Linked DNA regions of Drosophila melanogaster. The protein of the gene in region 1 purifies or fractionates together with the protein of each later gene. This does not show direct contact. Each region holds a gene or a part of one and is shown on either strand. Other genes may lie near its edges.

Region 1 (13,809 bases):
TCTCCTTCTTCAGCTTTCAGAACACTCCCCACGTGGTTAAAGTTGCGCACATCGTTAGAGGCCTGGAACACCACATGCCCGCCGTGGCCACCGTCTCCGCCATCTGGACCGGCCCTTTCATTGCACCATAGCTGCAGGAAGGACACGCAACCGTCGCCACCCTTTCCGCCGATGGCACGTATCCTCTTGGCATCGGAGAAGTACTGCGCCTGGAAATGTGGACACAAAAGTGTGGCATTAGTTATGTAAATTCCATTGCAATCTTATGATTCTACCTCTTTCCGGGTGGACTTCGCCTTCTTCGGACGCAGCGCTGATGCCACCTGACAGTAGTTGGCTATGAGACCAATTGGTTTTGCATTTCTGGATATATTCAATGAAAATCGCGCAAGAAACGATTTGCCGGTAGAGAATAACATTGCTGAAGTCTTGTGACCATGGGCATAGTCAGAAAAATATGTAATAGGGATTGATATATCTTAATCAAGTGAAATTAAATTAAATGATCTAAAGGTTCGAGAAATGTATTATATAAATATATTAAGATGTATTTTTAGGGCGGCTAGAATTTTTTACTTTTAAAAAAGTATTCGAATCCCCGTCTACACCTGTGGAAAATCACCTGCTGATACATAAACATATCGCGACGACTATCGAAAGCTATCGAACCAGCTGGAAATTATGTTTTTGTTATCCAGAGGAACGAGAAGCTTTCAACAGTTGAGAAAGATGTCTATTAAAGGAGCACTCATTGATCTCAGTGGCACCTTGCATGTGGAGGATGAACCTACTCCGAATGCTGTCGAGGCGTTAAAAAGGTGCTTAGTTTAAACCAAGGTATTCGTAATTATTTTCAAAGTTGCCGTGTAGATTGCGTGACTCTGGCGTACTGGTGAAATTCGTTACAAACACCACGAAGGATTCAAAGGCCACTCTTCACGAACGGCTATGCAGGATTGGCTTCCAACTTGACGCCTCTGAGATCTACAGCTCCTTGAGTGCCGCAGTCTCGTATGTGGAAAATGAGAGACTAAATCCGTACTATATTCTGTCTGAGGATGCACGACAGGACTTTCCGCCGGAGGACACTAGGCGCTATAAGGATTCAGTTGTAATCGGTCTGGCACCCAAGGCCTTTAACTATGAACAGCTGAATGAGGCTTTTAAGTGAGCATCCGAGCAAGGATATTCTTATCTCAATTAACGATTATCTCTGCAATAGCGTTCTATTGGAAAACAAGAATCACAAACTGATCGCCGTGCATCAGGGTAAGTACTACAAACGAGCAGAAGGCCTAGCCTTGGGCCCAGGGTGCTTTGTCAAGGGTTTGGAGTTCGCTACAGGACGAACTGCCAAAGTGATTGGCAAGCCCAATCCTTATTTCTTCGAAGGAGCTCTGGCTGGTCGGGATCCAGCCTCATGCGTTATGATTGGAGATGTATGTAAAGTAAGGAATACATTTTGAAAACTTAACGAATTCTTGATTCGCAGGATGCCAATGATGACATAGTGGGCGCCATGAGCATGGGCATGCAGGGAATTCTGGTCAAGACCGGCAAATATCTGCCGGATGTCAAACCATCCCCACCTCCAACAGCGTTGTTGGAAAACTTTGCAGAGGCTGTCGATTGGATTATACAGAAAAACCAATCTTAGGCTTTATTGGGCTTCTGCAAATGTTTATCGTGTTTAAAACATAGATACTGACGAATTTTTTATTTAAAATAGTTACTTAAAAAGACTTTACTGATATAGGTAAGGCTTAGATATAATTAAATGCTCAAAATAAGTTCAGTTCTGATTATAAACTTTTCATGTGGAACATAATAAAGGACCCGTTTTTAAAGTGTGAACTAGCCCGAATCATTTTTCAACGATGTACGAATACAGCCAAACACAATTATGTAATTAATTTAGTGTATAAATGCTTTTATTTTATAAATAGCCGTAAAAATTCATCTGAAATGCTGTTTAAAACAGATCAACGGATTAAGATTAAGCATAGTTGTGTATCAAAATTGTGAGTAATTGAAGGTCTTGCCGCTTTCGAATCCTTTATGCTCTTAAGACAGTTTCGACTGAGCGAATTTGCTGGCCAATTGGACAATTTCGTCCACCTTTTCGTAATTTGTGCCCGATGCCTGGGCGGATTCCGGTTTGCCACCTCCCTTGCCTCCCAGCGTGGCGGAAACATGCTGCACCCACTCGTTGGCCTTCAGACCCTTTTCCACGGCACTTTTCGGCACCGAGCTGAGACAGAAGATCTTCTTGGAGTCCGCATCCACTGACAGAAACATGGCGGCAGCGTCGGGCAGCTGGCTGCGCACTTGCTTCAGTGCGGCATCCAGCGCCTTGGTGTTGTTAAAGGCTTCCAACTGCTCGACCAGCACGGTGGCATTGGGATTGGCTTCGCACAGAGTCTTGGCGCGCTCCACAACAGTGACCGAGACAGCGGCACGCAGGGCACGTTCCTTATCGTCCAATGTTTTCTTCAAGCCCTTCAGCAGATTGCGCATCTCGTCCTTTTTCACGTAGGGAATCGTAGCATGCGAGATCTGTTCAGTCAGCTCAACAATCTCCTTCACATGCGACTTGGAGTCCTTACCGGACTTATCGTTATCAATGGTGGCCTTAAGCCGGACGATTTCTTGTTCAAATGCTTCAGATTTCTTCAGTGCCTTCAGAGCTTCGGGTCCTGTAAGAGCCACAATTCTTCGGATACCCTTGGCAATGGCCTCTTCGCTGCTGATAACAAAGTCCATTATGTGACCCGAGCGCCTCAAATGGGTGCCGCCGCAAAACTCGACGGAGGTTTGTTCGCCGGCTTCAGAATCGGGATTCTGCTCCAGTTCATCTACGGGCACTCCGAAGGAGATTACCCTAACGGGATCCGGGTACACTTCGTCGAAGACCGATCGCAGGCCTCGGATCTTCTTGGCCAGGGCCAATTTCGACTCCTTTGCGTAGATCGGCACATTCTTGTACACCATCTCCTTAGTCAGCTGCTCCGTCTTGGACACCTGCTCGATGGTCATTGCCGCCTTGCTGTTGAAGTCAAAGCGTAGCTTCTCTGGCACTACCAGAGAGCCTTTCTGTTCGGTGTCCTTACCCAATACTTGCAGCAAGCAATGGTTGAGGGCATGGGTGGCCGAGTGGTTTTTCATGGTCAACCAGCGACGCTCCACGTCGATGTGCAGTTCCAACTCATCACCCACCTTAAGGGTGCCCTCTACAACGCCAATGTGAAGAATGTAGCCTCCGCGGTTGTAGACACGGTCCACAAGGAACTCGTTCGCCTCGTCATTGACTTTAACCAGTGCACCTTGGTCGTAGATTTGACCACCGCTCTCTGCATAGAAATTTGTTTTGTCCAGAACGATGCCCGCCTTCTGTCCGCTGGTGATCTCGTTCACAAACTGGTTTTCGAAGCGCAGGGCAACAATTTTACTATTGCACACACCGTAGTTGTAGGCGGAGTCACGTTCGTCAGACACAGCCTCGTACTTGTACTTGAAGGTGTCGTTGGTTGGTGGCACACCTTGCTCCTGCAGCTGCGAAATGGCGTGCACATCCAGATTGATCTCCTCGATTTTGCTAGCACCTTTGCCCTGCGAAAGCACATATGAATTATGCTTGGCTGCCTCATAGCCATCCATATCGATTTTCAAGGATTTCTCCTCTGCCATAAGCTGGGTTAGATCGACTGGGAAGCCGTAGGTGTCGTACAGCCGCCAAGCAACATCTCCGGGAATGGTAGTCTGGTTACCCAACTTTTCGATTGTGCGGTTCAGCAAGTTGCGCCCGCGCGTTAACGTCTTAAGGAACTGCAACTCTTCCTCGTTGATAATATCAATGATGTGTTGGGGATCTTTTTTCACCTCCGGGAAGGCATCACCAAGCAGATCAACCACTGTGTTCACCAGGGTGGCGAAGAAACCGGGCTTGGCATTCAACTTCTCAGTGGCATAACTGTGGGAAGATAATGTCAAGATTATTATTGCTTAGAGAGTGTAATTTTTTAATTGATCAAGAATAATGACTAATGACTAATGTAATATAATGTATATAAGACGTAGTATTAAGTTATCTTACCGCACAGCGCGACGAAGGATGCGTCGCAGCACATAGCCTCGGCCAGTGTTGTCCGGAGTGCCGCCATCAGCCAAAGCAATGGTGATGGTGCGGGCGTGATCGGCAAGCACGCGGTAGGCCATGTCAATGCCGTCCACATCGTCGGCACCCACACGACCCTGGTAAGGTGGGGCACCAGTGCCCGCCTGGATGGCATCGAAAAGTGGCACAAACAGATCGGTATCGTAGTTAGATCGCTTATTCTGGATGACGGACACCAGCCGCTCGAAACCCATGCCGCAATCAATGTGCTTCTTGGGAAGTTGCTTCAAGCTGCCATCAGATTCACGGTTGTACTGGATGAACACGAGATTCCAGATCTCCAGGACATCGGGATCGTCCATGTTGACCAGCTCCGGAACGCTGCGCCCGCCGATCCGGTCGAAGTGCAGCTCAGAGCATGGTCCGCAGGGCCCAGTCTCGCCCATCTCCCAGAAGTTGTCCTTCATGCTGCCCGGCAGGATGTGTTCCGGTTTCAGGCCCAAGTCCAGCCACATTTGCTTGCACTCCAGATCGGGCTCCAGACCGCTGGCCGCGTCACCACCAAAGTAAGTCACATACAGACGATCCTTGGGTAGGGCGAGTCGCTGCGTGAGAAACTCCCAGGCCCAGGAGCAGATCTCCTTCTTAAAGTAGTCACCGAAGGACCAGTTTCCCAGCATTTCAAAGAAGGTGTGATGATAGACATCCTTGCCCACGTCGTCCAGATCGTTGTGCTTGCCACCGGCGCGAATGCACTTCTGCGTGTTGGCCACGCGCACCCACTTGGACATTTCGCTGTTGGGATCAGCGGTGCCCAGAAAAATGGGCTTGAACTGATTCATGCCGGCGTTGGCGAACAACAGCGTGGGATCGTCCAATGGAATCGTGCTGGACGAGTGAACATAGATGTGCTTCTGCTCCTTGAAGAAGTCCAGATAGGCGTTGCGCACCTCCTTTGCTGTGAGTAACTTCATATTGCTGGTTCTGCAAAGGACAAATCGTGAGTGTAAACGTTGCCACGCGACAATTGGGGCTCCCTAACCCCTTAAAACGGCCACAAATCGGAGCAGTGAAAGTGCACTTTGCACAGTACGTGACAAAGTTATACAATTTGGAAGCGAATTGAATCAAAAAACGTTTACTTGTTTATTTTTCGTATATGTAAATAGACCACACTGGTACCTAACCAAAACAAGTTATGTATTACTCACGTTTCAAACAGTAAATGCAAATGCAAACAATTTCGTCAGCCGACTGCAGCAACGTGTGAGATTGGCTCGATAGACAATGCGGCAAACTGGATGAGATATCGATAGATTTAGAGATGGCATAATGAAGAAAATAATTTTTTTATATTTAAAATTAAGTCCACTTGCTTAATTTACATTAATTGCACTCTAGAACCCTCCAGATATATGTAAAAAATCACAAATTTTAAAAAATGCATTTAGAATAAGCTCTTAAATGCGCCTCTATTTGAGCTAGTTAACAATGTGTAACAATTAAAAGTCCATTCGCTGTGGCAAGTGTTCCTCCTCCACCTGGTGCTCGATCTCCCTCATGCGTAACATAAGTTTAAAGTTCTGCTTGTCCTCCTGGCCAGTAAGGAACATGGTTAGCAGGGCCTGCAGGCCGATTAAGGTTCCTAAGGCTGGGACAATGGGGCGTGTAAATTTCCGCCACAACAGAAACACTTCTCTGGGATTTTCCGTAATCGAGGGAATACGGTACGTGTAGCAGCGGGTTGCGAACAGAAATGCGGCGAATGGGGCCAGAATTGTGGGATATACGATGCCCAGACTTGTCTGAAAGGCAGCACTGCGCATCTGGATGCACACCGGGCACTCGCCCAGCGGATTTAGTAGGATGGGCCGCTGAATAAAGAACTTGTGCGCCAGCATGGTAAATATGGCGGGAACGGCGACAATCGGGAGGTAAGTGGACAATCGACCATGTCCTCCAAGTCGCAGCTTGGTGCGATAATGATTATTTATGTAGGCGCCCGTTCCCGCAGCCAAAGCACTCAGAATTCCGGGCGTGTAGCGCAACGACCATCTACAAGGCAATATTTTGATCGCTTGTTAGGTAAGCGGCAACTTTAGAAGGCTTCATGCACTCACACTTCGCCTATTTTGTCCCAGGAAGTTATAATCTTCCATTGGTATTTGAGGGCCTGATCCTCTGTTATGACCACCGCGTCCCTGGGCAGTTCGTCGGGCTTGGCGCGTGATAATGCCATTTTTCATTAATTTATCAAAATATTTGGTTCTCAGAAAACAGCTGCTTATGGGTCAGTGTTGTATAAGTCCCGAACCGGTGTGAGAATGTTGAATACAGTGGGTATCGGAAAAAGGTCTCGGAAAGTAACGCGAAATTTACAGATGATGACATATCAGTGCTGTTAAATGGTCAAATCAGTGTTGCGTGCTGTTTTATATCAGAGGCGAATTGAAGTGTACTACCATAATTCTTGCGAGTCTGCTTAAAATGCCTCACAAACGTAGGAACCGAGTACATGCGAACCAAAGGAATTTCACAGCGCGACGCGTTTCTGTGGCCAAACTGTCGTCTGCACCGCCGAATGTGCTCGTCGAATCCTGCAACGGTTCTCATGCGGATAACAGTTCGCCGGACAGTCCGAAAGCCAAAGAAGGTGCAATGACCAACGGGAAAAACCCGGAGATCAAGTTAGCCGTGCCCAAATGCAACACCACCGTGCGCAAGCAGAACGAGGCCCATATCATATCCAACATTAAGCTGGATATGAACCTTAATAAGGATTCTAACTTTATCGCCCCACAGGTTAATTAAGGTTTTCAATTATGTATACTGTTTTATAATAACATATTCTGTAACTACCCCAAAGATCACCAAAAAGATGAACTTCGCTCCGAATCGTGTTGTATTCGGGGTCCTGGTGCCTCTCAATGTCAACGATTCTGTGCTGGTGCCGCACAATAGAAAACCGGATGCCTTAAAGCACACATCGAAAGAATCGGAATCATGCAAGGCCATAAGCGAGCCCCAGCTAGCCGACTATGCGGAGAAAGTAGATCCCATGATCATGGCTGTTAAGGAACCAGTACTCCACTTGGATTGGGAACCAGGACCCTTCGATTTTTTCGGCGCATATAGGAGAACATACAATTAGAGTTACATTTTATTTATAAATATATCCGAGAATATCAGAATGTTTGTAGCTTTGTTAACCGATGAAGTTCATGACCACCAGATGAAGGATCACATGAGCGAAGATGAAGTCGGCGAAACCGCGTTCCGGCGAAATGCCGGCAAACACGCTCTTGTTCTGGGGATTGGCCTGCAGGCGTAGGCACACTGCCAGGACGAAACAGCTGACGGTGCTGATGAAACCAGATAGGAAGGAGTTGAACGGGAAGGTTCCAACCAGGCAGCAGTAAACAAACTGGATGATGCCGGTGAGCAGAATGTAGCCGAGGTAGATGTCCACCAGCTTCAGTTTCTTGGGCGTATTCTGCACGTAGTCGTTGTAGAACTTGGAAATGACGCTCGACAGCTCCACCATTTTGCTATTTTATGTGATATTTGTCCGGATATTTAAGGATAAAGGCGCTTTTTAACAAATTAATCGCAGACACGTCACAAATTGGGAGAGAACTCAAAAGTAGGACCGTTCGTCTAGTTTGAAAATAATACTGATAGCTTTATCGATGAAGGCGCAAGTACAGTGGGCACTCAATACCTTGAAGTTTAATAAAGAATAGGTTTATATATTAAAAAATTTTTGTGTTTTAGTTAAAACTAAAACATAACAAATCTTATAGATTAATGACCGCTATCGATTCTTTTTTAATGTTGCATATGTTTGAGAGGTAATGTTATAATTTAATTTATATAAAAAGAAACACAAATTCTTTTTCTAACCCGTTAATAAAGTTTTCTATCCGATTTTCACTGTACCGCCAAATCAGCGAATTAATCGATAGATACGGAAAGTCATCCTCGATTGTTGTGTCTTGCTTTGCTTCTTCAGTGCTTGTTTTGGGGTGAGAGGCAATTGTTATTGCGAGTTGAGTTCGAAGAAATTAGTAACGTATGTATTTAAAACACCACAAAAGGGTATGATGTGCGTTGCAACGTTACAATAAACATTTGCTATCCAATGTGCAACAGTGATGCAGCGTGTTATCAAACTTCTTTTATATGAACACAACATGATTCATTGCTGATGTTTTCTCTGTTCGATTCGCAGACTGGGAGAAGATAATTGCCATAGCCTCCTCCCACCACGCACCCCAAACTCAGCAATAAATGAACTTTATAATTTGATTGGCTCTTCGCATTGATAAACCAGCGTTGTGACCTTCGCAGGAGCACCCATTTCATTGTCAGTGTCAAGCGGGAAAAAATCAATGGAGGACCTGACACCTTTGACCAACCTTCAACAGGTAGAGCAGAGCCAGACACATCTGGTCATCAAATTGCGCATGCTGAATGGGTTTATTTTGATTTCGTATCCGTACATCTGTTAATTATGTTTTTGTTTCAGTTTTAGTTTCAACATTATCATTTTTCCAACTGCCCAAAAGACGCGTTCCTACAACTCAACCATCTCCAGTTGAGATACATCTAATTTCCGATACAGTCAGTGTAAGTGAAAAAGATATAGTTATGTATCTTTGTAATGTCGCACCTTGTTGTGCAAGTCTGTGATGCAAGATAAAACGAAAATAAGTTCGTAATGCTTTGTTTGATTTCTTTATGGCTCTCAAATAAAGATTTCTTGACATAAGTCGGCTGCTTGTCTGGATTTAGGTAGACTTTACGATTTAAGCACTATTAATTCCTCGCTAAATAAATAGCACACATTCTATGACCATGTAGCACTTATATGTAGGTCTTCTAAAAGCAAGCACACTGGAATTATTAAATCTATTTTTTAAAGCTAGTGTTAAAGTAAGAAAAGCATGATTACTTGTCAAAATGGCAATATAACCAGAATACTGCATGCATGATACATAAATATGCAAATGATATCAACGCTAGAATGATTCGAACCTATGTATCATTTATGTATTATGTATATCTCTCATTATAATTTGTATTTGTTAAGTTAACACTTTGATTTCACGTTTATTTGCGAAAACTTTCTTCTCGCCTTATATGTTCATTCAAGAAATTTATCAGTAGTATTAAATATCACAATAATGCAACTTGAGTAATTCCGTTTGCTGACTCAAGTCAATAATCTGAATATAATGGGTGGATATTTGATTCACCGTCTGGATACACATTATATAATTGTGATTTATGGTATGCTCGCTGGCTTCGCAGGAGATATGCGGGTCTTATCTCTACGTATGGATTGTTTTTCGCGACTTGTTGGTGTTTTCGACTTTAAAGCTATACTCTAGTGGGAGACGAACTCGTCAATATGATATCGACTTCCGAAGCACGCGTAATCAGACCCATATGCAAAGTAATGAAATGATCACATTAATCGTACTTTGAGTCAAGTCCAAGGCTAACTTGGACTATCAGCATGGTCGAAATTTTCCACTCTACTCCGCCCGGCACGCGATCACTGTCCACTATGCAACGCACTATCTGCACCTCCTATTGTTATAAGCGTGGAAAACTGAGTCAGCGGAAAATTTCCGAGGCGAAAAGCGGGCGTCTCAAGTTGCACTCTTAGTTTGTTTCGTGCAGCCGGAGAGGGCGCATCATAAAATCCAACGCTCTTAGTTACTTACCTACCCCTGTTTCCAGATTCCCGAGGGAGCGCCGCGCAAGAAAAAGATGACGGAACGACAGCCGTTGCTCCTCCAGAGCGATGCCTCTGACTACGAGGGCAGTCGAGGATCGGCAGCACGACCCGTGCGCAGCTCTCCGCCGGACAACACTCTCGTCAACGTGCACAGCGAGGACAGCTTAGCAGGTGAGTTTGTGACCAGGTCAAAATATGTTATTACAAAGTAAATTGAGGTATGACGAGAAACTTATAATTTTTTCGCTTTTTTCTGTGAGTGCACGCAGCAGCCTCTGGATCGGGAGATGATGAAATTGGATCGACGGATAAGTCCTATAACCCCACCCATCATCGCGACCTGGAGCATCCGACGTCCAACTTCGATACCCTGGTTCATCTGCTGAAGGGCAACATTGGTACGGGCATTCTGGCAATGCCGGATGCCTTTAAGAACGCCGGACTTTATGTGGGACTCTTTGGCACAATGATCATGGGAGCCATCTGCACTCACTGCATGCACATGCTGGTCAACTGCTCCCACGAGCTGTGCCGGAGATTCCAGCAGCCATCGTTAGATTTCTCGGAGGTGGCATACTGCAGTTTTGAGTCGGGACCTTTGGGACTAAGACGATACTCCATGTTGGCTCGACGAATTGTTACCACGTTCTTGTTTATCACGCAAATCGGTTTCTGCTGCGTCTACTTCCTCTTTGTGGCGTTGAATATCAAGGACGTTATGGATCACTACTACAAGATGCCTGTGCAGATTTACCTGCTTATAATGCTTGGACCCATGATCCTGTTGAATCTGGTGCGGAATCTGAAGTATTTGACACCCGTTTCGCTGGTTGCCGCCCTGCTCACAGTTGCCGGACTGGCCATTACATTCTCGTACATGCTGGTGGATCTGCCGGATGTGCACACGGTCAAGCCGGTGGCCACTTGGGCGACGTTGCCTCTATATTTTGGAACCGCCATCTACGCGTTCGAGGGAATTGGTGTTGTCCTGCCCTTGGAGAACAATATGCGCACACCCGAGGACTTTGGCGGCACCACAGGTGTCCTCAACACGGGCATGGTGATCGTGGCCTGCTTGTACACAGCTGTCGGGTTCTTCGGCTACCTGAAGTACGGCGAACACGTGGAGGGCAGCATTACCCTAAATCTGCCGCAGGGCGACACGTAAGTCCTTAAACTTTCCATTGCTAATCGGTTTTAGTTGTAAGACAGAGGGATTTAATATTTCTCATGCTGATATACATAATCTACATGCTCTTGCTATTTGAAAAGCGCTATTCGAAATATTGATAGTTCAGATAGTTAAGATCGTTATTAACTTTACTGTCTAAATAATTTTAAATTACATGATAATAAAGCTAGCAAAAGGTGTTATAACAATTTTTAATGATATTCCCAGACTGCAATACTAATATTTTAATTGTCTTCCTCTTTACATATTTAGACTTTCCCAGTTGGTGCGGATTTCAATGGCGGTGGCCATCTTCCTCTCGTATACGCTTCAGTTTTATGTGCCTGTGAACATCGTGGAGCCCTTTGTGCGAAGTCATTTCGATACAACGAGGGCCAAGGATTTGTCAGCAACTGTGCTGCGAGTTGTTCTGGTCACTTTTACCTGTACGCATAGATAGTCAATATTTAAAATGTTCCAATTATCATCGTATTTTATTTCACAGTCCTGCTGGCCACCTGCATTCCCAATCTAGGCTCCATTATCTCGCTGGTAGGAGCCGTCAGCAGCTCAGCTTTGGCCCTAATTGCACCACCCATAATTGAAGTTATTACATTTTACAACGTTGGCTATGGACGCTTCAATTGGATGCTATGGAAGGACGTTTTAATCCTGATCTTTGGACTCTGTGGCTTTGTGTTTGGCACCTGGGCCAGCTTAGCTCAAATCCTGAACGACAGAACCCACTGAGTTTAATCGAAATAAGCGAATCGAAAACAGAACCTGGCTAGTTCTGCCTACAAATGTGTGCGAATTTATGACGAAGGCTTTATGTAGTTACACTCAGACTACGAATATGTTTACCATTAGTTGTTTACCATTTCCCAACTGGTATCGGTCCAGTCCAGTGGCGGTGCTTTAGTGTGATTAATTTATATTTATGGCAAATTAGTTGCATTTTTTTTTGTTGTTATCAGCCAGCTGCAATCGTACCAGACAATAACTAGCATTTTAAGTAGAAAGTTTTTCAACATTTGTTCAGTTTGTCAGTTGGAGATTATTTCTGTGTTAACTCGATGACCGCACAATGCCAAACGTGATTTTACGTAGTATTCTTAACTAAATTATTATTTAGCTTTTACTATGTAGTCTAGGTCGGGGCAGATCATTCCAAAGCAACTGCTAAGAATTTCCCAAAAACCGAAATTAGCTAATGTTATCTGCATACTTTTATCGTTCGATTATTTGTAATTATACAACTATAAATACATATATATGTATACCCCTAGCCGTACTGGTCCCGAAATGGGACCTTCGATAAAGTTTTGTAAATACATCAATTCGGTGTATCAACAAATGTTCTTTAATAGTTCAATCGGTAACAAAGACAATAATTAATATAATGTTTATAAAAATCAGTACAATTGATGTTATTTAGTATTCCTACCACAGGGCTTGAATGGTCACTGGGAATGGGATTCCATTGGAATTAGCCACTCTCAATGGACTCGATGAGAGCAGAATCAGTCCTTGAGCTCGTGGACCGTTCCTAATCTGCTTGGTCAGGCGAGCGGGTGCCTGCTGGACAGGCTGAACTTCCTCTGCATCCGGATCGGGTGTAAAGTCTTGCGGCTCCTCATCGCTGGGTAGCTGCTCAACTGCATCGGTAGGCGGTGGGCCGTAGGTCAGATCCGGTGGTCCATATGTCTGATCCGGAACTCCTTCCTCGAATGGCACCTCCGGCTTCAGTTCGTCGGCGGATGGATAGGGTGCTGCCTGCTGTTTCTGAAGTTGCTTTGCCAGCCGTGCTGGCTGAGCTGAAACCGCTCCAAGTGCCAGGACCAGAACCAGCAAGGAACAGGATGACTTCACGTAGCTGCGCATATTGGCTTTGACGCAAGAGATACACGAACTTATGAGGGAACCGTTGTTGATTGATTGATAACTTTGCTGTTCATTACCTGTCTTTTTATATGTTTTTCGGGTACTACGTGGATGGATTAATCAATTTTTGGTGGTAAAACGTGGTCGTTTGGTTAATGACTGGGTCATCCAGTGGCCCTTGTGGTCATTTGGAGTTGTCGTCAATGTCACGTTGCAGGTGCCCAAAACGGGAAATCAATCAGCCCATTAATTTCAGTGTCAATGTTAGCCAGAATAATTTTTTTTATGAGTTATGGAAAATTATAATAAATACACATTGCATAAATATGTTTTAATACATTATTAAAAGTTGTTATATGCATATCACTAATTTTCATGCAATGGGCTCTTAAAATTCCCAAGTTCTTTTTCCGCATGGAGTGCTTATAAAGCGCGACAAGTGTGTGGTCCAAACGTGTTGTTTGGAAGGAGAGCAAGTTAGCACTCCCCTAGACAAGGATGGAACACATAAACGGTCGGCTAGGCACAGACAAAAGCCGTCCACAAATTTTTTTAAATCTTATGATAGCTTAATGCCAAATATCCCTTAATAAAATAGAAAAAACACATCAAACATATACATTTCTATATTCAGAAGCTCTACTTGTCAAATGGTAAAAATAGTCAGAGGTATAAAAACATATCAATTTAGTCTTGAACTTATCACTACGCACTAGAGATTCAAATAATTGAATGTCAGTCAGTCATGACCACTACATCGGGTATTGTAAAATCTTGTTCTTACAAAAAATCCTGATTTAGGAGCTAAGGTGTGCTTAGCCATTTTTACGAGCTAAGTAGTAGCTGAAGGTGGGATCTATACTCCTGACAGAACTGGGCAGATAAGTAAAAAAG
Region 2 (18,522 bases), on another chromosome or scaffold:
AAATATTTCCCGAAATATGCGCAAGGACGATTGGACATATCTACAACGCCATCCAGAGATCCGAGCCATAATTCGGGTCATTACAGCCGAGGCGGTTAAGGCAAAGCCATCGAATATCTACCAATTTACAGCCAATTTATTTGGAAGCGAAAGAGACGAGGAGATGGTAGAAAAGGCAATAATTTTTGTTTGCATATTTACATAAATGAAAAAAAAAACGCTTAAAAGAATTGTAATTTTCTAGATAAACAAGCAACTTAAGTGGTTGGAAGAGCAGTTGCGAGGGGGTACGTGGAATCCTGACGAAGGATGTGCCCCGTTTCCAGAATCCAGCGAGACTTCTTCGGAAACTAAATGCCAAACTAATTTTAATACCACTGCGAGTTTCAACATACCCGAAAAGCAAGTTTGCCCTGAAAATTATAAGCCAGATTGCAAGAAATGTTAAAAATGTGAACTTAATAAATTCAAAAAAAAAAAATTCAGATTGCAAGAAATGTTAAAAATGTGAACTTAATAAATTCAAAAAAAAAAAAAATCAGATTGCAAGAAATGTTAAAAATGTGAACTTAATAAATTCAAAAAACTTTTTAAAAGGAATAAAAAATATTTGTAATTAAATTATACATATTTAAATTACTTTTTATAACTTTGCCACATTAGGCAACACTGCATTTCACAGTCTGCACTGCCACCTATTTAGCGAGCAGTCTGGCAGCCCAAGCCAGAAAGTAAGATATACAGTACGGCGACTTATTATTTGAGCGGAAAAGCGGAAAAACTATTCAGAGTGTTGTGTAACTTTTTATATTAGTGAAAATATCAGTTGGTAAATTCAAGTTATTTGCTCCCAAACAGCCAAATAAATGGTAATACGCGAGGAGTGTCCAAAGAACGGACAAAAAGCGAGGTCGCGACTTCGAGGAGGAGGAGTAGCCATTTTTCGTGGTGAGTAAAAAATATATATGTGGGGATCTGACCACCACCTTCACCTCCTCAGTGTCCTCTATTTTGTTTTGCTACGCCCATTCGTTGTCAAAGACAATAACAAAACAGCTTTGTACGAAGATTAGTTAATTTCGATATGTTTATTTTGGTTTAAAATACGATTATAGTGTTCTTAAAATGCGCTTGGCATGACTGATTTCTGATTGCTTTGAAACCACAACAATAACAACAGTACCGGCCGGCAAACGAAAGGGAAAGCAAAAGCAAAAGGAAACCGAAAACGTCATTCCTGCGTTGACTTTGAAACCCTGGAGTTGTATTAGTCGCCGGAAAAATTTTATTCTTTTAGCCGAATTTTCGCGAAGATTGTTAGTGAAAATGTTGCCCCACGATAGGAAAATACTTAGGTGATAGTCGCCAGCTGGAACAACACGAATCTAGTCGCAACAACATGATTTAAATCAATTTTTTGCCATTTATTTTCATTCCAGGCAACATACACGCCAGAACCAGAATACGAATCGCCGGCGCCCCAGATTCACCAACAATAGCTTCCATACCAAAATGGGCAGCAACTCCAAGGCAGACCCCATCTCGCTGACCTTCCACGACTCCTGCCTGCGGATGTCCGACGTCCAGTTGCTCCACGGCCCGCACTGGCTGAACGACCAGATCCTGAGCTTCTACTACGAATACCTGGCCCACATGAAGTACAAGACCAATGCGGATCTGCACTTCATTGCGCCGGAGATTACGCAGTGTATGAAGTACATGGGCGACCAGGAGCTGAAGCAGCTTCTCGACCAGAGCAACACCACTGGCAAGCCCTTTATCTTCTTCGCGCTGAACGACAACGAAACCACCGATGCTGGTGGCAGCCACTGGTCACTGTTGGTCTTCTCGCGTCCGGAGAAGACCTTCTATCACTTCGATTCGTATGGGAACAACAACACGGGCAACTCCCTGGAGCTGATGAACAAGATCAAGGACCTGCTTGGCGTCCGAATGGCCAAATTCCGGCCCATGCGCTGCCTACAGCAGGCGAACGGCTACGACTGTGGCATCCATGTTATCTGCATGACCGACCACATTGCCGATTACCTAAACAGATACGAGGTGATCGACGGACTGCCGTCGCTGCACATCGACACCGTGAAGGCGAAGCGCACCGAGCTACTGAAACTCATCCTGTCGCTGGGCGGCAAGGGCTAGAGGCTAGCGAGGATTGCCCTGCCGAACCGCCCACAGCCGAGTAGTTTTTAAGTGACCAAATTACGAATGTAACTCGTTGCCGAAGAATGAGAGGAGCATCGGAATTACATATGTGAATACGATATCCATGATATCGCTAGTTGTAGTGGGTTTAGTTTTCCTTGCCGAATGAAAATGTTTAAAAAACAAAAGCAAACTAAAAGCAATTGAGGCGGTGAGTCGGCATATTTTTAAGGTTGGTCTTTCAAAATAAAGATTTGTTTAGCCACAAAACGCGTTGGCTTCGAATTCAGAATTCTGACTTCTCTGCTTGTTTGGTCAATGGGCGCCTGTCGCCAATTAATGAAAACAAAGATATCAGTTGGTTGCAATTATTTATTATAAATGCAAAACGGGAACGGATCCGCGCGGATCTATGATTAGATTACATTTAAAAACACATACAAAATAGATAAATCCACATCGAAAATTGATATTACAATGAGGCACTGGAGTACACAAGGAATACCTTTCATCGCCAGGCGAATGCTCGGGTGGGTAGGGGTAGTTAGTAATGGGTGGGGGGAGACCAGGACGTTAACCTGACCACTACTATCTAAAAGCTAGCTAAGCTGCATACTTGCACGTTTGAGACTGCTCCTAGAGCCGAACTTCGGGCTTGGCCCAACCGCCAAAGGCTCGCTCCAATTCCTCGGCAACGGCCAAACAAAGTCGATCCTGATTGAAGTTGGCGATGATTTGGACACCCAGTGGCAGACCCTCGCTGCCCAGCTTGCCCAGCGGCACAGCGGTGGCCGGGAAGCCCAGCACATTGACAATACCAGTGTAGGCAAAGTTAATGGGTCGCGTAATGGGCTCATTGTGGTATGGAGCCACCGTGGGATGCGTGGGATAGATCAGCACACCATTATCGCCCAGCAGGCTTTGCAACTCCTCCCTCAGCTCATTTCGTTTGCGCACCAGATGATCGTACTTGGGAGATCCGTGCTTGCACTGTGCACTATCCATGATAGCTGTCGACAGGCCAATGAATGTGTGCTTGGAAGCGCCGAAGAACCACTTGAAGAGCTCCAGGTACGTGTTGATGTCATGATTCAGGTTGCCTAGCTGGTAGGCGAATCCATGGCCACTGTCGTCGCGCATGTTGGCAAACCAAATGGCCGCCGACTGCCGGAAGTGGGGCAGCTGGATGCGCTCCACTTTCTGATTGCCGAACTTCTCTCTCAAGTGCTGTGCCACGCGGTTCATGGCCTGCAGCAAGAAAGATTTCAGATTAGAGGATTTAATTAAGAAAGAAGGTCATTTATCTTACCTCTCTTAAGTCTGGATCAACGGCGGAAACCAAGCGGCCGCCGCCATCGGACTCTTGGTAGAAGAACTTCATTTTGGTTAGGTCCACATCCTCGTCCAGATTAAGCAGGGCCGCCTTCTCGCCAGCCATAATCTTTAGCATGGGTCGCAGGTCCTCGGCAAATCGTGACATAGGTCCCAGGCCGAGGAAGGAGTTCTGCTCGGCACTGAAGGGCGCTGGGAACTGACCGACATTGGAGACGACCAACTTGCTGGGCTTGTGGCCAAAGATGCCATTGAAAAAGGCTGGCATGCGAATGGAGCCGCCAATGTCGGAGCCCAAGCCAAAGGCGGAGGCAGCCGCCGACTGTATGCAGCCCTCGCCACCGCTGGAGCCACCGACAATGCGGTTAGTGTCGTAGGCATTCCTTGTCCTGCCGTGCACCGTATTGTTGCTCTCCCACCACATGCACACCTCGGAAACATTTGTGAGGGCTATGGGAATGGCTCCCGCCTTGCGCATCAAGGCCATAGCGTCCGCATCCCGCGCAGCACGCACATCCCGACGTTCGAAGAGTCCAGCTGTGTGCAGCATGCCTAAAGCCAAACACATGATTGAGCTATAGCAATGGTAATCCAATTAAGAAACTTATGGGAGCTACGCACCCTTGACGGATATGCAATCCTTGGTGGTAATGGGCACGCCCAGGAAGGGCTTCTCCTTCTCCAACTCCTCCGTGCTGTATTGTCCAGACTTGATCAGGGCATCTGCTTCGGCTGCCTCCTTGAGAGCTTGATCGTAACGTTCATCCACGACACAGTTGAGAATGGGATTCACCTCTTTGATGCGCCGGATAAATGATTCCAAGACCTGGACGCTGCTCAGCTGCTCAAGATGAGTGAAAGTTAGGTGTTTTGTAGATGAAACGATTGCACACACTCACCTCCTGTTTGCGGATTTTCCGTGCCAACGATGTGGCGGACTCCAAGAGAATGGCATCTGTGATCGGTGGAACACTCTCACCCTTTTGGCCATAGATCAGCCGGAAAACAAAGCGAATGCAGGCCTGGAGAATGCCGAAAATGTAACCACCAATGGCCTGGGTCAGTGGCACGCTCTTCGCCATTTTGTGGAATTCTAAGGAATGTGCGCCTGAAGAAGCTCAGCTACTAGGACTCAGAATTGGAACTGCGGGTGTTGGTGGCTGTGTACTTTGCCCTGGCCCATGTGTTATTGCTCTGGAATGTTGAAACGATAACAAAAATGAAATAAATGCATTGAAAATTCATGTTAAATATACTTAAATGAAGGAAGGCACTCATGAATGTGGTTTATTTGCAATTTAAACTGGTTTATCAGGCAACTTTTATAAGACCTTATATAGCAAAAGTAAAAAATAAACAACAAATCAGTAGAAATATAAAATTGGGTCAAAATACCTCGTTCTGGATTTATGATTGGTAATTCAGTCATTTAAGTCGGCAATTCATTTTATGGATATAATGGGTTTTACGCAATATATGAACGTTTCATATCGAAACGGAAAATTTCTATTTATGTGTCTTGAATTATTTCGTGTTTTCATGCCACAAAGTCTCATGATTTCGAATAGTATTTAGCATTACTTATCTACAATAATAAATGAAATTGGTGACAATTTTAATAAAAATAAATATAGTACTCATAGTTGTAGTTCTTTTCACACATCTCAGGTTTAATGACTCGGCAATTAATTGAGCCGTCCCATTCCCAGATAGGCCAAGTCCACACCTGTGTGTGACTCATGGATAGATGGATTCATAAAGGCACATAGGAAATATGGAATCTATATTCGAAATGTAGAACTTTTCTCCAAAGTGCATACATAGAGTAGGAAACCGCGATCATTATATTGGTCCCAAAACAAATAAAGTAACTGAAAATTGCACTAAAATTCAGCAAATAATGACAATATACGTATTGTATTGGGAAAAACGTGTATTTCCGGATAACGAAGAAAAGCCAAAGGAAGCCTATGCATAATACTTCGCTGTTCTGGAAAAGGTTGTTTAAACAAATGACTTTACTGTTCAACTCGTAAACATTTCACTGTTTACAAAAACGAACAATGGAAACTTGTATGGAATTGGATATATGTATACACACATAGATATATGGTTAATATATAGAGCTGGAATCGGGGCAGTATAATGTTTAAGGGAGCCATATGCCCGGCCAGAATCAGGATTTACCTCATTATCTTATCAGGAGTGCGCATCAGACAGCTAATTCGCTGCTTAAACACGAGAAGATAATGGCACAAAGGGAAGCAGACCACGGAGAGTGGTGAATAGCCGAAAAGCCGATCCCCGTCAGCTCACTAAACAGCCAGGTCGTTAACCATATCCACATCAGTACTCCAAATGGTATTACAGAAAAAAAAAAACCAACTGATAAGCGGAGTGAGTCACAGGTCGAAGCTGTTTGTTTATGCCATTCGTTTGCCATAAAAAATAGAGCAACAATTGAAATAGTCGGTTTTGAGCAATCCGAAAAGTGCTTCGTGAATGATTAGTGGAACTCAAAGTTCCCACTTCCTATCGCAATGTGCTTATCTACATATTAATAATAAGAATAATATGTTGTTACGATTTGATTATTCTATTAAGAATGCCTTTCAACATATCGCAGTCTGCTAATTGAACTGCCAGACATTCGAATTTTGAATGCAGTGAGTGCATTATAATCAAGTTCGCACTTTCAAATTGCGGTTGGGGTGAATATTCACGGGGGGGGTGGTGACAATTTGTCTGCCCGTGATTTTGAATAACAAACGAATAAAATGGGTAAAATTGCCAAGAGCATGCTATATGAAGTTCAAAGCACTCTGTATAATGAATGGCAATTATTTTAAATTGGTTTGTAAGCCAGAAATGTTCAGTAGAGCCGGGTTTTTCGTATTTTAAAGTTACAAATAGAAATTCACACTTTAATAGCTCAAAGTCTCATGAGGCCGGTTCCTAGAACTCACTCATAATATTTAATGGAATATCTTTTATAAGCCATTCAAAGTTTGATACTAATGGGTTGCAGTGACACAAATCAAATGGCAAACATTTTCCTGGTGCAATATAAATCTTTTTTGCTTCAGTCGGTCGAAGTTCAATGGGTGGAGATGCGGGACGATAATGGTCCAATAATCGGGCACTTAAGTGGCCAATCCGATAAGATTAGCCATAAATAATAATGAACTTGTTGCTTAGCTCCCCTTTTTGGCTCAGTGTCCAAAATATTCAATTGTAAATTACTCGAGCGACATCCAATCGGAATGTCAATCGCAGTTGCATGCCATTTCTAATTAGAAAAGAGTAGACGGGCCATTGATTTCCAACTGGATGGTGAGATATACATATGTACATATATGTACGCAAAAGGTGGAAAAGCGAAGGTTGCGACCGGCGAAATGGTTTCTGGGGTGTGGTAGGGGCGGCATCGGGGCGAGGGAGTTACCCGGGCGTGCGCCAGTGACATCATTTCGCTATTTCCATTTTCATTTCCAGCATATGCTTTGTTTGCACTACGAATTCATCAAGTGTCATTTGGCACTATGTGCGTACACTGTGCACATGTATGTGTGAGTAAAGTTTGTTTGCCTCAAAAATAAAGCAAACAAAAACATAAACTTAAAACAACACAATCCAACCGATGACGTCACGAGGGAGCCTTTTTATTGTTCAAAATGGAACAATGAATGGGTCACAAGGATAAGAATGATCAGAAATAGCACTTTGTTGAAGTTTAAATTGCAAATAACCGGTTGGCGAACAATGATTAGCGGTTACAAAGCGTTTGGCTGTATTCACAATCGCACAGCTACACTTTAGAGCGGCACGTAAACAAAACGATATGAAACCCAAGATAAGCATTTATACACACACACACACAGAGAGAAAAGTCTAGTTCTCCACCGCAGCGGCAAACAAACTCTATTATTTACCCGCTAAGCACAAACTCAAGTCCAATCAGATGGGCGACTTTTTTTTAAACCTACAGCGCTAGCGTGACCGTGCTTGCCATGCTGGGAAATAACAAACTCGGTTGCGACCAAATTATCGATAGACAAATATGGCAATTTAATACGCGTAGTTTAGTTTTGGTGAAATAAGGCAAATATCAGAGGCATAATTTATAAGATTATTAAGTAAAACCATATAAATAATATAAAAATAAAACAATTAGATGAATAAAAGTTCTTCAACAAAAAAGGGATTAGGTTCAAGTAATTGTTTATTATGTGTGAAAAGCACCTAATTCTTAGGGAGCAATAAAAGATTGATGCGGAATATTGTTCGTTGTTGCTGATGCGAGGTGTCAGGTGGAGAAATACTATTTTAATAGGTTTAGTATTTTTAGACCCTTATGCAGGGAACGCACACTCAAGCAGAGTGGCAACGCCAGCCAAAATTCGAGTTTGACGCTTTCAAAAATGACATCCTAAAACGTTTGCTGCCTGGAAGAGAAGTGAAAACGAACTAAAAGTCGGGTATTATTAGTCTAAGGAAATGAGTACCAAACAGAGCCCGGCCCTCCAGCTGGCGGAGGGGCAGCTAACCAAGCTGACTAGCGAATCGGAAGAGATCCGTATGCGCGCGCTCGACCAGATTGAGACGAGATTCATCAGGTGCCTGCAACTGGGCGAGCCGATACAGTTCAAGCCGGTCCTGCTGCTGAAGCAGCTCATCCGCTGGTTCGGGTACACACCGCCGCTGGTGCCCGACCGTGTGCTGGCCATGATTATGGAACTCCTTCGATCCGAGTACGCCGAGGCGGTGATTCGCAAGATTCCTTACGAACGCTTCAAGGCCGAGCTGCAGAAGGTTCGCCGTGTGCTACACAAGCAGGAGTCCAAGCGGGTCAGCGAATTGCTGGATGATATGAATTTGCTGCTTCTCGAGAAGTACAACATAGACCGGGTGACGCCGAGCGTCTCCAGCCTTAGTTCAAATGACATTCCCAGTCAGGCAACTGAATCCGCAGACAGCAGTTCGAATCAGATTTACGACAATCTGAAACCGGAAGATTACGAGCCCTCCTGGTCGCATCCGTGCTTGGACGATGTGGCCACCATGAAGAGCATGATTGATTTGCCACGAAATAGCGTTGAGTTGCAGTTGCAGCTCACCGAACTGATCATCCGTATGGGCGACTACCCAACTGAGTACTTTCTGCAGCCACCGTTCGTATTCTTGCATCTGGTTCAGTTGCAAACGATGACTGACGGTAGCCTGATACATGTGAACCGGGCACTAATTGCCTGCCTGCGGCTGCTGCAGCAGCGCATCTTGTTGCGCCGAAACACTCTGAGCTACGCGGACAGGTTCGATCCTCCGTCACGCCCCAAGCAAGTGAAGGTGGTGAGCGCCTTGGTAATTCTGCTGGAAAATTGCATGAAGCTGATTCGTCCGTTGCTGTTCAGCTGCACAAACGACAACTGGCACATAATGGAGCTGATCGTGGAAATAGTGCGGACCCACGATGTTCTCAGCTCAAAAATTCCCTTAGTGAGCATTACGCTCATCGCGGACGCGGTCAAAAGTCTGCTGGCGTATTGTAACAGTGTAGAAGGCAGTTGCATGACCCAGCTGATGGACTCGCTCAGGATTCCCCGCCTGCAATCGCTGATCCTTAACGGCGTGCTGCACGATATGGTGGCCTTAAATATAAACTATGACAAACGCATGGACCGACGCCAAGCCAAAGCACTCATCCAACCTATAGTTTTGGACAGCGCTTACCTGTCTGGCATGCCCGAGCGCATGAAGTCGCTAAACACTCTAATATCGTCTTTGGATTCTGGACCATCACCGGACGAGGAGTTGATCAAGCTGAAGCGGGCCTACAGCGTGGCCCTAAATCAATTACATCCGAATACGGAACTGACTGGGTCGCTGCTAATCCAGAAGTACAGACAAGTGTGCCTTGTGCTCGTCCAACTGGGCAGTGAGACATTGGTAAAGCAGCTCTTCGGAGCTGTTGTAAAATGCATTCCATTCTACGCGGGCAATTTAAAGCTAAGAAAGGATGCGGATGAGCTGCTTTACACCCTTGTTGATTTGCCTGCTCTCAAACTTCGTTCACTTATATATCGTTTAATGATCAAATCCACCGTGGCCCACTTTCATTCCTTTATGAACAAGACAGTCTATATGACCGGCTGCAGCAATGTGGATCTGATTCGTCAGCATATCTTAGGCGTGCCGCTAACTCCCCTGCTGTTACGCAGAATGATAATTCAGAGTTCGGAAGCAAATACTTCGGAACGTATGCAGCAGTGGTGCCTCGACTATCCTATAATGATTATGAAGCTAAACGCTATTCTAGCTCCGCAGGATTTCAGCGTTGTTTTCCCGTTGCTACTCCCCGTGCTGCCTCTGCTGATCAGCAGGTCGGTTACACACAAGATATTGCACAACGTCATATGGAACGTTTTAGAGCCGGACTCCAGCCGTTTGGATCCGCAATTGATGCTGCGCGGGTACGTTTACTTCATGTTCCATCCGGATGGCGAGGTTAGGAGCGAGGCCACCACTACAATTGCTTACGTGCTGCAATGTCAGGAGCAAACGAATAGATATTTGCCCACCGCAAGCAACGTACCGGTTGAGCACATCGCCAACGATCTCTGCATAATTCAACCACCATTCTGTTATAGAAGCATTTTCATCAAATGCTCTGATGAGCGGTTTCAAGGTCAGCGCAGCTTGGACGCCCTGTTCCGATTACTCCAGGCCAAGGACATAAAGTCGAATATCCGAAAGTCAACAATGACTCAATTAAATGTCTTGCTACGAAACTGGAGAGCTTGTGAGGAATTCTCCACAAAGGAGGATGGATATCGACTGATTATGGAGTCTCTGCACAACGCTCTGAAAAAGGGGAACGACACTGATATTCTGCTGCCCACTGTGAGTATCCTGATGAAGCTTCTGTTCAATGACGATGAGTTTCGATTAGAAGTCGCGAACACATTCGGGGTGTACACTTTACTGCTGAGGGCTTTATTCTTGTTCCCCCACTTGGAACAGTTGCGCCAGGATGTCAGTATATGCCTGTTCCAAATGCTGTTCCAGAATTGTATCACCTCCACTGAAGACAAACTGGTACTGAATGCGAATATGGAACCCCTGATTTTGCCTGTAACCTATGAAATTGAACATAAAGTTATACCCACTGCCGTTACGGAAGGATTGGAGCTGCAACAAAATGTGGAGGCGACCCATTTCGGGCGAGATAGGGCAAAAGCTGCACAGCATTGGCGACTGTATATGGCCTATCGCGTTTGCCAGGTTCCATCCAGCATTACTTTGGAGTCTGTGAGCGCTTTGGATATAAGGGAGTCTCTTAAGATCAAAATGGCCGATTTGGCGTTAGTAAGATCCTCCGACTTAAATGAGCAGCTAAGTTGTCAGTTTATCGCAGCGGAGAATTGCAGCAAACACGAGGATCTGCAAAAAACTGTGTCGGCCATTCAGCTATTTCTCGTGGTTCTGCGAAACTCATTAAGTGATACGGTGGCTGAGAACTTGTGGAAATTAATCCATAAGTACATCCGCTTAGCGCCGGGGAACGAAGCGGATGACAAGGTGTACAAGTCCATGCTGGATCTGTGCGTAACATGCATTCGCTTCAGCCAGCCACATGCTATCAACGGACTGAGCTACGCTCTGGAAACGGATCATCATCACAGCTTCCAATTACTCCTGCACGATAGCCAAATTTCTCTGGATAAGCTATTCCTGATTTGCCAGTGCATGATGCAGCTTTTGTCCAACGAGCTCAGTGATGATTCGATGAACTGGTATGGCAAGTTCTTTATGCAATTGAGTGCCGTGGCCAAGACGCACTTTGAATTGCGCCAGCTGCAGCACGTTCGCTGCATACTTTGCATGCTGCGCTTTGTAAGCGAGCGAAATCTGAAATTTAGTAATGCTCAGTTGATGGTGAGTAAAGGATCATCGTCATTAGATATTGATTTCTTACCTTGAATTTTTGTCCGCAGAGCTACTCTCAGCATTTTATCCAATTGTCCAGCAATTTACGTACCTCAACTCAAACCGGATCCGAGTGGCAGCGGGACTGCTTGTACATAATCTGTCAGCTCCAGATCCATCTAATATATCAGGAGCCAAAGGCGTCCAGCAAGGCCAGTATCCCAAACGATGTCGGAGCTTCATATAAGGTCTTGCGCTATTTCTTAACACTTTGCGGGCACGGTGACAGTGAAGTGCGTGCATTGTCCTGGGTATCGTTGGCCAATTGGATAACCATCTGTGGCTCGCAGGTAGCAGAAATTCTGCCTCGCCTGGATTTTCTACCCGGCGGACTGCCGGCTTGCTGTTTAACCACTCTGACGGATGCCCACGAAATGATGCTGATCAGGGAGTTGGCCGGACGAGTATTTATCCTTCTGATGCCGCTCATTGGTGCCGAAAGTAGCTTGGAATTGTTGCGGAAACATGACTTACTAAAGACCGCCTACAATTCGCTGAAAGCAATTCACGACACTCCCTGGATGTTCAAGAAGATAGTTGGTGAGCGGCATTCGTGTGAAGTAATTAGCTGCTATGTTGCCATATGCACCAAAATGGTGGCCATGAAGCCAGAGTGGTGTGCCGCGCTCTGCGGCCACAGTTTGATGAGTGGTCTCAGCGATGTGATGAAAAAACTCAAGTCGCAGGCGTCCTGTTCGATTCCGCTTGTGGAACTGTGTGCATCCCAAATTTGTGAATTGTACTCGATGTGCTACACTAATAACTTTGAGTTCCTTAAGATGACGATTTGTCGAGATTCTGTATTCTTGCAGAATTATTTAACGCTGATCAACGATGTTTTGAGTTTGGAATGTCCCGAGTACATGGTGATTCCCCTATTAAAGATGTTTCTCATATTCTGCACGGACTCGAATTCGAACTCATTTCTCATCGAACAGATAAAGAATAAGCCATCTCTATTCATGGATTTCTTCCTGTTTGGATTGCATGTGAAGCTTATTAATTCGCCATTTCAGCGCTTTACTCTGTCAGCATTATCACTTGTGTTCACCAAAGCTCAACTTGCTGCGTATGATATAAGCATGCTAAGTGAGTTGGAGAAGTTCGAATTAGCATTCAGTGATCCTGATATTGCTAAAGATGGCAAACAAGAATTCGAGTCAAAAAAGAAGCAATCTGTATCGCAATGCATCTACGATGAATCCTCGGATAATTCGGATGACAATAAGCAAAGGCCAAACCATGCGATCCAGGCCACTAATGCGGCTATTATAATTTTCCATCGCTTGGATCAGCTCTTTGACCGTTACTATCTATCGAAGGCCTTAAACTTTTTGGAACTTCCTGCAGTGGGCCAGGTGCAGGTTTGTGAAGCACTCGGCGAACTGCTTAAGGCATCAACCTGGGCCGTGAAAGCAGCCGGAGAATCGAAGCTGCTTGGCAAGGTAGTTCACATTCTGGACGATTTTCTCAATGACGAAAAAATCGGAAACGCCGCCGTCTATGTGAAGCGAGTGGGACCTCACAAGGCGCAAAGTATCATAAGCAATCTCTTGGTACTGATTAACATGCTATCCCAATGGCATAGTTCTCCCAATTCTGAGATCATCCAGACCAGTATGGCTGCGAATATCGCCAAAATCCTCATCCGCATTTGGCCTTGGTTATCGCACTCGTATCACTTAAAAAAGGTTACTGTCCAGCTGATTATGTTCCTTACGGAGCATTCATTCGAAATGTGTAAACAGATATCCCTGCTTCAGTCGGGACATGCCCAATCCCTGCTACACCTAATGGCTCGCGTCGCTGACTTCGAGACCACCAAGAAGGAGATTCCAAACAAAGAGCCATCTCTGAATATGGTGCCCGCACTAAGGGTTATGGTAAACTGCTGTTGCTGCACCGAGGGTCGGCTGAGTTTGTCCAAAATGAATTTGCTGGATATGTTTGACACAATCCTTCCTGCTAATCCGTGCTCAACACATCTTAAAGTGCGACCACCTGTACTGATTGCATGGCTCGGATTCTGGGAGGTATTTTCCCGGTACGACGTAGGAGGAAAGGCTTGCCATCTTCAATCTCTTATAAACACGATTCGGCGTAGTCCTCCATTGAGTCACAAGCGGATCCTGTGCCTTCGAATACTCCGCAACATGTGCTTCTTCAATGGTAATCGCCCCCGGCTCGTGGAGCTGGCTGACTTTATTAACCTGCTGCGTGATATTTTGGAGCAGAGGGTCCAAAAAGCACCCACATCCGAGAAAAACGGGCTGAACTCCTTCGAGGAGCACCGCCTGGCTGTCCTCATGTTGTGGAAACTCTTCGGTTTCGGTGCCAAATATAAGGGCATGCTGCGGGGCACCAAGCTCTTTAAACTGCTGATTGGCCTTCGGGTGGAGATGTCGGTGGTCTTCTCGGAGGAAGAGAATAAGTACGCAGGCGTTCCGTACGCAAATGATCTCGCCAAGTTGCTGGAGAAACTGATGGAGTCGATGCGACAATAATCGCAGACCATGGACTCACTCTGATCAAGTACAAATCGATAGGATAGTTATAACAGAGTCGTTTTATTTTTGTATAATGTGTAACTTTTGTAATGGACTTTTGTAATTCGACTGTGAAACGAGATATGTAACTTTTTTATATAATAATGCACAACCGTTTAATTTTGTTGTAAGAAGAAGCCTGAAGGCATTTTAAGTTTGCACAACGTTCTTAACTAATGGAAATAAACATCTGAACCCCATAACTGATTACTTTGTCATTGAACTACCCTAATATGGAGCTTATTGGGCATTTTGTGGTCTCAATAAGATGTGGTACTGAAGAAGCCCAAGACGAGAATGTATGCAGCAACCGCATATGGACATAAAGATAAGACTTTCGATGAAGTGATTGGCCGTAGTGACTGGCTGAATAGAACAAGCGTGCCAAAAACAATGCTTTCAATCTAGTTTAAAGTGAGTAAAGAGTATAAAGATAGCAGTCCATAAATCCTGCCATTTAGATACTAAAACCTGCAAAACCAACTGGGAAGCAACTGGAAAGTATCCGTCGCGTTTGTCACATTCTCGTTAGCATCGAACGCTATATGGCGTGCATAAAGCGATTTATCTTTATGGGATTCAAAGTGCGAATCACTGCTGATAATATCCGTCCACCTTCAACTTTCGGTGCCCCAAGTCAATGGCACTTTCAGTTCAGTCCCGACTGGCCAAAGGAACTGTTCGACTTCCGCGACCGATCAGAAACTACAATTTGTCGACATGAAGTCGAGGGAAAAGAATGTAAGTTTGGATTTAAGAAATCAATGTGTTTTAATTAATCCATTAATCGATTTTAAAGGGGTCTGCGGCTAGTAACTCGGACGTGGCACTGGTCAATGTTTTATCGCAGCAAAAGCTGAGAAGGCACAGATTGCCCTGGTACTACGCACCATCCTTTCTCCTCCTATGGGTGGCTCTATTCTACGCAGTGGTATATCCTTTGTACCATCGCCTGCCCGATAGCGTCCTTATATCGCATGAATCGAGTAAACCTGGACAATTTGTGGCGGAGAGGGCGCAAAGGCTGCTCTACAAATACGACAAGATCGGACCCAAGGTGGTGGGCAGTGTGGCGAATGAGGTGACAACGGTGGCCTTTCTCGAAGAGGAGGTGGAGAACATCCGGGCGGCAATGCGCAGTGATCTCTACGAGCTGCAGCTGGATGTCCAACATCCCTCGGGCGCCTACATGCATTGGCAGATGGTGAACATGTACCAGGGCGTCACGAATGTGGTTGTTAAGATTAGTAGCCGGAGCTCCAATAGTTCATCCTACCTGCTGGTGAACAGTCATTTCGATTCCAAGCCCAGCAGTCCTGGTGGGTAACAACACATTCTGCTCTTTTTATAAGGGTACTAATAATACCTGCTTCTAGGTTCCGGCGACGATGGCACCATGGTTGTGGTCATGCTGGAAGTCCTTCGCCAGGTGGCCATATCGGACACCCCATTCGAACATCCCATTGTGTTTCTGTTCAACGGAGCTGAGGAAAATCCTTTGGAGGCATCGCACGGCTTTATTACCCAACATAAATGGGCGGGAAACTGCAAGTGAGTGGGCTGCATTTGGAATTTCGAATATGGCAGTTAAAACTTGAGGGATAATTCTGCAGGGCTCTCATAAATCTGGAAGTGGCAGGCAGCGGAGGTCGTGACCTGTTGTTCCAGAGTGGACCGAATAATCCGTGGCTGATCAAGGTATGTACCACATGCAACCATGACTAATTGCTGGGAAAACTTTTTGCCATGCTCACGGTTATCAGCCGTTTATACAGTATACATATATGTACATTCAAAATCATATTTGTTTATCGAATTTCGAGTGGTTATTAGCGGCAATCGCTGATGGCGGGATGAAATTGCCTTTGAAGAAAGCGGCATTTATTGATAATCGGATATTTACTTCATTTACTACCCATAGTACTATTACCAGAATGCTAAACATCCGTTTGCCACCACAATGGCCGAGGAAATATTTCAGTCTGGCATTTTGCCATCCGATACGGATTTCCGTATCTTTCGCGACTACGGACAACTGCCAGGTGAGTTGGTCACGCGAATGCTTCATTGGCTTGTGTATTGAACAGGTTCTTCCCCAAAGGCCTTGACATGGCGCAAATCAGCAATGGCTATGTATACCATACCATTTTTGATAATGTTCAGGCGGTGCCCATTGATTCCCTACAAAGTTCTGGAGACAATGCCTTATCTCTGGTGCGGGCTTTCGCTGATGCGCCTGAAATGCAGAATCCAGAGGTGAGTCATTAATGGTTTTGGGGAAATCCAACTCATTATTCATTGTGTCATTTTTATTTGACAGGATCACAGCGAAGGACACGCTGTTTTCTTTGACTATCTGGGCCTATTCTTTGTGTACTACACGGAAAACACTGGCATAGTCCTTAACTGCTGCATCGCCGTTGCCAGTTTGGTTCTGGTGGTCTGCTCCCTTTTGAGGATGGGTCGCGAATCGGATGTCTCTATAGGCCGAGTGTCCATATGGTTCGCCATAATCCTGGTCCTTCATGTGCTGGGAATGATCCTCAGTCTCGGGCTGCCGCTGCTGATGGCAGTTTTGTTCGATGCCGGAGACCGTTCCATGACATACTTCAGCAACAATTGGCTGGTCATTGGGCTGTTCATCGTTCCAGCAATTATTGGCCAGATTTTGCCCTTGACTCTCTACTACACACTAAAACCAAATGTGAGTGGCCAACACTTTTAAAAATCTATATATGTTAACTTTTAGGACTTGCTTTGCAGGACGAAATCAGTCACCCCAATCACATACACATGAGCCTCCATGCGCACTGTGTCCTGCTGTCCTTGATTGCCATTATCCTCACTGCTATAAGCCTAAGGACTCCGTATCTGTGCATGATGTCCTTGTTGTTTTATGGAGGAGCTCTGTTGATTAATCTACTAAGCACTCTACACGATCGAGGTAACTCATGGCAAATCGAATCCTCCACATAGATTGGTAACTTGGATATACTTGCAGGATACTATTGGGTTGTATTGGTGCAAGTCCTGCAACTAGTGCCCTTCCTGTACTTCTGCTACCTATTCTACACTTTTCTCCTGGTCTTCTTTCCGATGCTGGGGCGTTTTGGACACGGCACCAATCCTGATCTATTGATCGCCCTGATCTGCGCGGTTGGAACTTTCTTTGCACTGGGATTTGTGGTAAGAAATAAGGCTTTAGCCTAAGAATACATCTAATTGACGATGGTTACCCAGGCTCCTCTGATAAACATATTCCGCTGGCCCAAATTGGCACTGCTCGGATTGGGAGTGGTCACGTTTATATTCAGCATGATAGCGGTTTCTGAAGTGGGCTTTCCATATCGGGCAAAGACCAGCGTTATGAGAATTCACTTTCTGGTACGTACATGCTTCATTGCAAGCTATGTGCATTCCCCATAAAACACTTGTAATCCCTCAGCACGTTCGGCGCATTTTCTATGAGTACGATGGCTCCGTGAGTCTCAGTGATTCCGGCTACTACTTCGACTTCCAGGATCGTCGTCTCTATTATCCACTGGAAAACACCTCTGTCAATCTAACTGGCTTGGCTAGCACATCCTCCGAGTGCGATAAGTACCTGATGTGCGGAGTTCCCTGCTTCAATCACCGTTGGTGTAAGACGCGCGCCAAGAGCCATTGGTTGCCTCGGGAGCAGGAGGTGGCCATTCCAGGAGCGACTTCCCTAAAGCTTCTCAGCAAAGCAGTTTTGGACTCCGGAAAGGTGGCCAGGTTTGAGTTCGAGATCTCGGGGCCACCGCACATGAGCCTGTATATTCAACCTCTGGATGGGGTTGAAGTGGAGGATTGGTCATTCATTCGGAACATGCTGGATGAACCCGACACCTACTCACCGCCATATCAAATATTCTTTGCCTACGGTGCGGATAATACCCCCTTAAAGTTTCATATTGATTTTGCAGTGAGTTTAAGAACTTCCGAAATACCTGAAATTGCTACTATAACGCTCTTCTTCATAGAAATCCTCGGGTGACTTTAGCACTCCAACTTTCCAGCTAGGATTCGCTGCCAGTTTTGTTAGCTACGATTATGATCGAGATGCTGCCGGCCTGAAGTTCATATCCGATTTTCCCGACTTTGCTCACGTTATGGAATGGCCTACGTTGTATGAACGATATATATTCTAAGTTGCTGGACTTATGGCACATCTCGCTACCTTTTATTACTAAGAACCTCTGTTAAGAGCCTCTATTAGCTTAAGAACGTACATTTAAGTATTCTAATTAAACGCAATGTTTTGAGTAATGGAATTTCCCCTGAATTAATAATCAAACGCTTACGTTTAGTCGCGTGTGTAGATTGTTCGATTAATTCTGGTGGCGTTGATCCAATCGGACCAACAGGGAAACTTTTAACTATGGGTAATCTAAACATCTAAATCATAGAATGATTGGTTTTCCATGAATTTTGTTGTTGGCTTCCTATCACACCGCTCTGTGGGCTATCTTAA

What was found.
Region 2: the proteins of Rcd4 (region 1) and ana3 purify together in Drosophila melanogaster (affinity purification with western blotting; one study listed by BioGRID). This does not show direct contact.

Annotation. Positions count from the first base shown.
Region 1 is NT_033779.5:8,376,355-8,390,163, forward strand, and holds Rcd4 (reduction in Cnn dots 4), read left to right. Parts: upstream 1-6,506; 5' UTR 6,507-6,601; coding exon 6,602-6,916; intron 6,917-6,980; coding exon 6,981-7,265; 3' UTR 7,266-7,303; downstream 7,304-13,809. Other genes in the region: CG13390 (uncharacterized protein), read right to left, coding at 1-209, 276-419; CG17294 (uncharacterized protein), read left to right, coding at 730-818, 871-1,167, 1,223-1,439, 1,493-1,657; AlaRS (Alanyl-tRNA synthetase), read right to left, coding at 2,065-3,970, 4,094-5,088; CG13392 (uncharacterized protein), read right to left, coding at 5,617-6,169, 6,235-6,353; Dad1 (defender against apoptotic cell death 1), read right to left, coding at 7,320-7,658; CG13384 (uncharacterized protein), read left to right, coding at 8,506-8,541, 9,863-10,031, 10,133-11,024, 11,305-11,477, 11,537-11,781; CG42819 (uncharacterized protein), read right to left, coding at 12,475-12,915; CG42820 (uncharacterized protein), read right to left, coding at 13,731-13,809. UniProt on the Drosophila melanogaster protein: Participates in the later stages of centriole assembly through the interaction with Ana3 leading to the centriole to centrosome conversion in somatic cells.
Region 2 is NT_033778.4:12,337,094-12,355,615, forward strand, and holds ana3 (anastral spindle 3), read left to right. Parts: upstream 1-7,889; 5' UTR 7,890-7,992; coding exon 7,993-11,430; intron 11,431-11,489; coding exon 11,490-13,985; 3' UTR 13,986-14,232; downstream 14,233-18,522. Other genes in the region: CG34021 (uncharacterized protein), read left to right, coding at 1-175, 245-448; Den1 (deneddylase 1), read left to right, coding at 1,327-1,355, 1,440-2,160; CG8839 (uncharacterized protein), read right to left, coding at 2,800-3,411, 3,473-4,047, 4,117-4,336, 4,395-4,577; CG30047 (uncharacterized protein), read left to right, coding at 14,748-14,768, 14,827-15,346, 15,404-15,578, 15,641-15,725, 15,949-16,069, 16,129-16,283, 16,348-16,731, 16,791-16,971 and 4 more. UniProt on the Drosophila melanogaster protein: Participes in the structural integrity of both centrioles and basal bodies and in centriole cohesion. Participates in the later stages of centriole assembly through the interaction with Rcd4 leading to the centriole to centrosome conversion.